2 linked regions of the Rattus norvegicus genome follow. The protein of the gene in region 1 binds, or shares a complex with, the protein of each later gene. Links are inferred from orthologs where the notes say so. Each region holds a gene or a part of one and is shown in the gene's direction. Other genes may lie near its edges. The genes, in order: Dffb and Dffa.

Region 1 (3,808 bases):
TTACTGTGTAGTTAAGGCTAGACTTAAGCTTTTGTGTATATGTGTGTAATGTTCGTGTGCACACGCCATGGATGAACCACACCTGGCCTTCACACAGGCTGCGGGGATCACACCTGGTTCCCACGCTTATGTGGAAGGCACTTTTTCCTCCTGAGCCACCTCCCTGGCCTGAATGTAAATCCTCCTGCCTTTGCCTCCCTGTGCTGGGGATAACAGGTGCTGACACCGCCTGTTCAGATGTCTGTTGGTGAACTAAACATCTTGTGGGGCCAGTTCCTTAGCAAGCTTGATGGCCGGGAAGAGAGCGGGAAGGGTCCTCACTGCTGTCTTCCCAACCCCTGTCTGTTCTTGCTCACTGCAGGGCCCCTTTGACTTGGAGAGCTGTCTCTCCAAACACTCCATCAACCCCTATGGCAACAGAGAGAGCCGGATCCTCTTCAGTACCTGGAACCTGGACCATATGTAAGTGTATGCCGCCAGGACTCAAGTTCTCTAACCAGAACCAGCCCAGCATTGTGGGGTCCAGTGCCTGCTCAGCATCTCAGGTCTGGTGCATTATACCTGTGCGGTTCAAGCCCACATGCTTCACGGGAAGGGTTCTAGAGAGATGCCACTGCCTTACCAGCTGTCCATGCCTGATGCTAAGCTGCCCCTCTGCCCTCCGTCTGTCCCTCTGTCCCTCTGTCCCCGTCTGTGGTTGGATATGGTGGCCTGGCTCTTGATGGCCAAGTTTTGGTCCCCAAGAGGCTGTTGCTGTGTGTTTGAACTGGAGGAGCCAGCTCCAGGGTGTGGTATGGGAAGGCAGGGCCAGCAGGATGGTTTCACAGCGGGGCAAGCTACAGTCTCTTCTGTTGAACCCGGGTAGGGCAGTACCACATTTCTGTAGCTGTGGTACTTTCTTAACTGTAACTACCCTTGACCTTGCTTTACGAAGGCAAAGTGTTCCAAGTACCCACAAACGACTTCTCAACTCTTGATACCAGAATAACTAAAAGCTTACAAAAAGTGATTGTAGCTGAGGACCCACCCCTTGATCCCTCTGTGCTCAGTGCCCTGTCCCTGTTGCCAGGGAAACACTGTCCTGCAACGTGCCTCATTAACGCCCTGTTCATGTACCGTAACCTTTACCCGGGTGTGTGCCGCCACTCTCTGGCTCTGCACCATGTATACATCCACACAACTCAGGGGAACAGCCCAGACGTCTTCACTTCCCGCAGACTCTGACTTCACATTTGTTCGCCTGCCAGGCATTCAGGCCATTCTGAGTACTCGCCGATATCCAGGGCTGGGATAGACGCTCTGAGATGAAGCATTAGTTTCCCAGTTCCATGCCCGACAGTGTGATCTGTGGACTGGCTGCACCCAGAGCTGGTGAGGAATGCACTCGGGCCCCACCCAGCATCACAGGGGTACCCTGGGGCCAGTGCACACTCCAAATGAGGGACTGCCCTGGCTCCGACCTCCAGTCTCTTTGGGGGAATTAATGACTGTGGTCACCTTCGGAGTGCTTCCAGACTTTTCTGGCTGTTCTCGTGATTGTAAGTCAGTTCCGGCCCCCACCACCACTCGGTGTCACTGTGCCCCTGCATCCTCCTGCCTGAGGTGGGCACCCACTTAGCTGCCTCTGTGGCTCTCCGCCACCACAGCTCTCAGGCTGCTTCTCCTCGCTTGCTGTTTACTTTTGTCCTGGGCACTAATTCTTTCCTGACTGTTGGTGTGACAGACGTCGTTGCTGTATTTTGGGCGCATTTCTGATGTCTCTTATCACGACCAGATAGGGCGGCTGTGGTGAGCCCGAGAAGACCAGGCTCCCCCTCTTGGGGTCTGAGGTACCGTTTGCAGCACGCCGGCTGCAGGCCAAAGTGTGCACAGACCCTGCGATTCCTCCTGCAGGTGCAGGGGCATCTGCTCGCCCCCGTTGTCTGCAGCTGCCTCTGCCCTGCGCTTAGGTGCAGCTGTGTTGGATTTTATTTTCACTTCTAGTTTCTGCCCCTTTGGGCTTTCTCTTTGCTCTCTAGATTTGCCTCTTGTGTTTTAACGAATGCTCAAGGCTGCTTCTGTCCAGCTGCTCCCGAGGTTGGTGTTTCGGGATCAGGGCGGCTGCCCGTTCTGATGTGCCTTTGGCCTGTCTATCTGTCTGTCTATCTGTCTGTCATTTCATGCTGCTCTGCTCATCCTTTCTGGGCTCTGGTATCTGTAAGAGGCCAGGACTCTGGGTTTCTGTTACCATCACGGGGGTTGGGAGGGGCTCCTGGTATCTCTTGTCAGCGCATTAGTGGCAGCGGCCATTTTTGCCTTGTCTAATGGAGATCATCCTGTACTGGTCCCTTGTCCCGGTGTCGAGACATAGTGGCTGGTTCAGCATGTGTTCAATATTTTGTTGCACGAATAAGTGGGTTTCAATTAATCTCATTTGCCATTTGCTGTACCTCCTGTGTGCCTGGTCTCAATGTGCATCCTGGGCCTGTCTGTCACCTCTCTCTTCCAGGCCTCTTTTCTCAACGTTGCCCCACCTGACCTCAAACTTGCACAGTGGTCACATCATCATGGTCACTGCCTACTTACGTCTCCCACTCCTCTGCTCACCGCCTCCTGTATCTCCCTGCTCCTGCTCTGAGCTGCCAATGAGCGGTCCTAGCACTTCTGTAAGGAGGGTCCCTCCCTCTTGCCACTGCTGTCACTGAGTGCTGGAGAGGGGCTGTCTCACACTGAGTCTGGGATCACAGGCATCTAGGTCTCCTGTGTACTCCGTGAGGGAGACCGATCCCTGTTTCCTGGTGGCTGCCATGGAGCTGCTGCCAGTGGAGAATGGCTTGATTTATTCCCCTTAACTGACAGCAATACACACCAGGGACAGACCTTTCCTTTCGGCCCTGCCGTGACTCGTCCTCCATTCTGCAGAGTTCTGATTCTCCCCTGCAGTCTCTTGGATTCCCGTGGGTGTTCTGGAACCTTCTTGCCGCCCACCCTCTTTATGCTGGGTCTGCTTGCATGCTCTGGCTCAGTGCTGCTGTTTTAGGGTAACTTCCCGCTGTGGACCCAAATGTGGTCCCTCCTATCCCAGACACACATTGCAACTGTCACCCAGTGAGACCACATCTGGAGATGGGTCCTTTGGGAGACAGTTAAGGTAAAGTGAGACCATAGGGTGTGGAGTAATCCAGGGAGAGCAGATGTTCTTGTGAGTGGGAGAGCATGGGGATGTTCTCATTGCTATATGAGGACAGGCCAGGAAGTGGACCCTGACCAGACCAGACCAGACCAGACCACTGTGAGCCTGGGCCAGACTTCCAGGCTCCAGAACATTGAGGAGATAAACGTGGGGGAGGCCTTGCAACTGTGTTTGGACCTGAATTTCTCTTTGGTGACCAGTCTTCTGTTGTGGCTTGTCAGTGCCTCTGCGGAGTAGATCTAAATTTGTTCCTTATGGAGCCCCAGTTTCAGTGGCTCTGAAGTAACATGACATTGTGCTTGCTTGCCATGTCTGTGTCACACTGGTCATACATGTTTGGCTTATGTGCCTGTGGGAGACACAGGCCTGGGGCTCTGTGGGCAGCTGTGTAAAATGGGTACATGAACAAATGGAGGTCAGCAGAGGCTGACAAGGGCTCACGCATGAGACTCTGCTCTGCTGAGTAGCATTCGAGGGACTCTGGCCCAGCTTTCCCGTCCTCTTCAGTAGGGTAAGCCGTGCCCACTACTCAAGTTTGCAAAGGAAGACAAGCAGCATTGACTCTGGCCACCACAGCCCATGTCAAGGATGGGCCAGTGTCAGCAGCCTACGAAACCTGGTGCTGGGTTCCTCTGC
Region 2 (3,731 bases), about 5.0 Mb from region 1:
CTCTTGCCCTCCACCCACGTAGCTGAATTTCTAAGTGGAGGATTCATTTCCCCAGTCTTCACACTAGAATTTCGGGGATGTCAAACCTTCTTCTCTGAAAGGAACTTGAGGAAAAGATGGCCCAGTTCTGAAATGGATGCACTGGAGAGCTTCTGCGCTGCCCTGTGTTTTCGTTTTCTCAGAGCCTTTATCCCATGCCAGGCACTCATCGACATCCCCTGTGCAGAGCTGGCGCAGGAACTCTGCCAGAGTTGTGCCACTGTCCAGGGGCTGCAGAGCACGCTCCAGCAGGTGCTTGACCAGAGAGAGGAAGCACGCCAGTCCAAGCAGCTCCTGGAACTTTATCTCCAGGCCTTGGAGAAAGAGGGCAGCATCTTGTCCAACCAGAACGGTAAGACTCCCACTGCAGCTCCTCAGGAGCAGCCTTGAGGGCGGGGCCTTGTCTGCAGAGCAGCCCAGTTCCCTGAGGGTGATGTCCCTGGGCAGGATGCTTCTCTCACCCACTGAGCTTGCCTGCTTGGCTGGGGACTGCTTTCTCATAGTCGCCGCTTACTCTCTCGTCTGCATTGCAGAGTCCAAAGCTGCCCTTGGGGAAGAGCTGGATGCAGTTGACACCGGCGTCGGCGGAGAGGTGGCTTCAGAAGTGATGCTGAGAAGCCAGATCCTCGCAGCCCTGAAGGAGAAGCCGGCTCCAGAGCTGAGTCTGTCTAGTCAGGATTTAGAGGTGGGCAAGAACTAGGAACCCAGAACTGCAGAATGACTTCCTTGGAAGTAGAGTTTGGAGGTGCAGACGCACGTATGTGGATTCCCTTCCCCTCGCTGACTCACAGCTGCCAGTTTGCCTTTAAACACAGCCAAAGCATTTGCAAACATCTCACTTAATGTAAAGTCCAACTGGCCTTTTCCAGGGGGAAAGAGGCAGGGTCTCTCCGTGTAGCCCTAGCTGTCCTGGAACTTGCTCTGTAGACCAGGCTGGCCTTGAGATCTGCCCGCCTCTGCCTCCCGAGTGCTGGGATTAAAGGTCTGTGCCACCAACGATCAGCTCCAAATGACCTTTAAAAGAAAAGGGATGCGTATCCTCGGGTCATCAAACATTAGTCCTTTGTTCAAATTGGGAGGAACTGCGGGCCGAAGCTTCTGAGGTGACTTCAAGGTAAAAGAGTCAAAGACCCATGAGTCTGTACTTAAGGCTGTGGCTGAAGATCAGCACTGGGCCAACAGTCACAAGGCACACCCTGTACAGAGTACCAAGTACCTCCCGGCCCTAGACAGAAGGGAAGGGAATTAGATTAACTTGAGCTTAATTCAGTTCCTGTTGTGCTTGGGGGACTTTAAATCGATGTGAGTGTCATGAAAGGCACATCATAGCCAGGTGGTGGTGCACGCAGCTTTAGTCCCAGCACTCAGGAGGCAGGGCAGGCTGATCTCTGAGTTTGAGGCCAGCCTGGTCCACAGAATGAGTTCCAGGACAGCCAGGGCTACACAGAGAAACCCAGTATTGAAAAAAAAACCAAAGGAAAGAGAGGAGTGGGAAGGCAGGCAGGCAGGCACATCCTAGTGCATCCCAGGCCGGCCCGGGCCGCAGTCCGGCCCCGTCTCTAAAAGAGGAGAAAGCAGCCCAGAGAGGGGCGCAGAGCTGCCGTCTCAGTGGTTCTTCTTCTTGCTGCAGTCGGTCTCCAAGGAGGACCCCAAAGCCCTGGCTGTCGCTCTGAGCTGGGACATAAAGAAGGCAGAGACAGTCCAGCAGGCCTGTACCACGGAGCTCGCCCTGCGCCTGCAGCAAGTGCAGAGCTTGCACTCACTCAGGAATCTTTCTGCAAAGAGGAAGCCACTGCCTGGGGACCCGCAGAGTCCCAAACGGGCCAAAGTGTGAGACTTCTCATAGCCAAACCGGACAAGCTTTGCAGAGGAGAACCTCGGTTCTGAGGTCCGTAAACACCTGTCTGTGACCTTGTGACCTCGTGACCTCGTTCCCACCCGCACTCCCTCCACCTCCCGCCCTGCGGTGAGCTCTCCTCGCTCCAGAAAAGCTGTTCCCTGTCTGTGCATACCCCTCTACCTCCTTTCAATGTCCTGGGTTTTCGTTCTGTTTTCTTACCTGTGTGGGTGTGTTGCCTGCACGTATATCTGTATCCCTCATGCCCATGAAGGCCAGAAGAGAGTGTCGGGTCCCTTGGAGCTGGAGTAACAGACAGCTCTCAGCAGCCGTGTGGGTGCTGGGAATCGACTCTGGGTCCTCTGGAAGTGGGGCCGGTGCTCTTAGCCCCTGAGCCATCTCCAGCTCCCAGAATGCACTTATCGTGTGCTGGCCTTAGGTTAAGTGAAAGTACCCGTCTAGGGCAATGAAAACCTGTCATACTTTGGACTCGATGTCCTTACTCTACAACTTGAACAATAGAGCGTTAGACACAGTGGTAGAAAAAAGGCACCCAACAGCAGCAGTGGTGGCCATGAACTTCCTTCTCAAGTTAATGAATGCAGTTGCTGTCCGCTTAAAGGCACATACTGAGTCTGCAGACCCCAGGGACATGGAGTCTAAGCCCCCATTTCTAATATCTGACTCAGTGTTGTGAAGCTGTTACCGCTGTGAGACTCCAGTCCATTTTCTAATATGTTTTGCCAGCAGGGGGTAGAAAGGATCATTGAGTCCCATGCTCTGCGACTCAGGTTTCTCTCTGCAGATCAGGTCACTTCCAGCTTTTCTCTGCTGTTTCTGCTCAGAGTTCTACACCTTCTGCAATCGACAGTGCTGTCTGCCTTCAGGGAACGGACACCTAGTTACGGGTCATCTGACTTTCATGCGTGCTGGGAAGAAGAAGAGGGTCTCTAGCTCTCGTCTTTTTTTTTCGTGTGTGTGTGTGTGTGTGTGTGTGTGTGTGTGTGTGTGTGTGTGTGCGTGTGTTTTCTGGGTACTGGGAATTGAACTAAGATTTTATTCATAGACACTGAGCTCGTGCCCCCTAATGAACCACACCCCAGCCTCACGTTGACAAAGAAATATAGCATTAAGTCTTGGGGTAAAGGTGGGGTGCACGAAGCAAATAAAAGTAATTGTGTCCTTGCCTACAGGGGGGGCCTGGTGCAACTTTCAGATCTTGTAGTGCCTGACAGCACCAGTTCCAAATGTTGGCATCAAAGCTCTTCCCACATCTTTGTGGTGCCTCTCAGTCCCTGAATAAAAGCCATTGCTGATCATCCATCACCCGCCATTGTTTGTTCAGAAACACTAATCCCTTCCGAGTCACAGTACACAGACACAAAGAGGACCCTTTACAGTAAAATGGTGTGTATGTTGCACTGTATGTGACCAGGCGTCAAAGCTGCCAGGTGCTTCTGTCAGCATCAGATCACCCCGGATTTGACACAGGCAAGCTGACAGACAGTTGTCAGACAGCAGGGCAGCACTGTCCCAGCAAAGAGGTCACCCAAACGATGAAGTTCTGAACAGGATATCACCTGCCCTTGGGTTACATCTTAAATGTGTGTTCCTAGAAATCCAGGCTACACTAAAACTAAAAATAACTTAAAGTAATCCTGGAACTTGGGAGGCAGGAGGATCTCTGTGAGTCTGAGGCCACACTTACCTACATAGTGAACTACAGGTCAGCCAAGGTTACAAAGTGGAACACCCTGGCTTAAAAGAAGAAGAAAAATTAAAATTAAAAATTAAAAGAAGAAGAATTAAGGTTTCAAGCTAAAATAATTCTGGGAATTACATTCATTCTCTTTGT

Evidence for each region.
Region 2: the proteins of Dffb (region 1) and Dffa are in contact, whole or in part, in an NMR structure (PDB 1F2R), measured with the Mus musculus proteins. The link is inferred for Rattus norvegicus from reciprocal best matches to the Homo sapiens genes DFFB and DFFA. Residues at the interface, in NP_031885.3 of Mus musculus: Cys10, Lys12, Arg14, Ala19, Cys20, Lys21, Phe22, Gly23, Val24, Ala25, Ala26, Arg39; in NP_001020467.1 of Mus musculus: Asp66, Thr68, Ile69, Val70, Asp71, Asp72, Asp74, Tyr75, Trp94, Tyr96, Asp100.

The regions. Positions count from the first base shown.
Region 1 is NC_086023.1:169,806,697-169,810,504, reverse strand, and holds part of Dffb (DNA fragmentation factor subunit beta), read left to right. Parts: intron 1-361; coding exon 362-462; exon of another isoform or gene 463-3,808. UniProt on the Homo sapiens protein: Nuclease that induces DNA fragmentation and chromatin condensation during apoptosis. Degrades naked DNA and induces apoptotic morphology.
Region 2 is NC_086023.1:164,833,528-164,837,258, forward strand, and holds the end of Dffa (DNA fragmentation factor subunit alpha), read left to right. Parts: intron 1-201; coding exon 202-391; intron 392-572; coding exon 573-724; coding exon of another isoform or gene 725-739; exon of another isoform or gene 740-1,669; coding exon 1,670-1,873; 3' UTR 1,874-3,202; downstream 3,203-3,731. UniProt on the Homo sapiens protein: Inhibitor of the caspase-activated DNase (DFF40).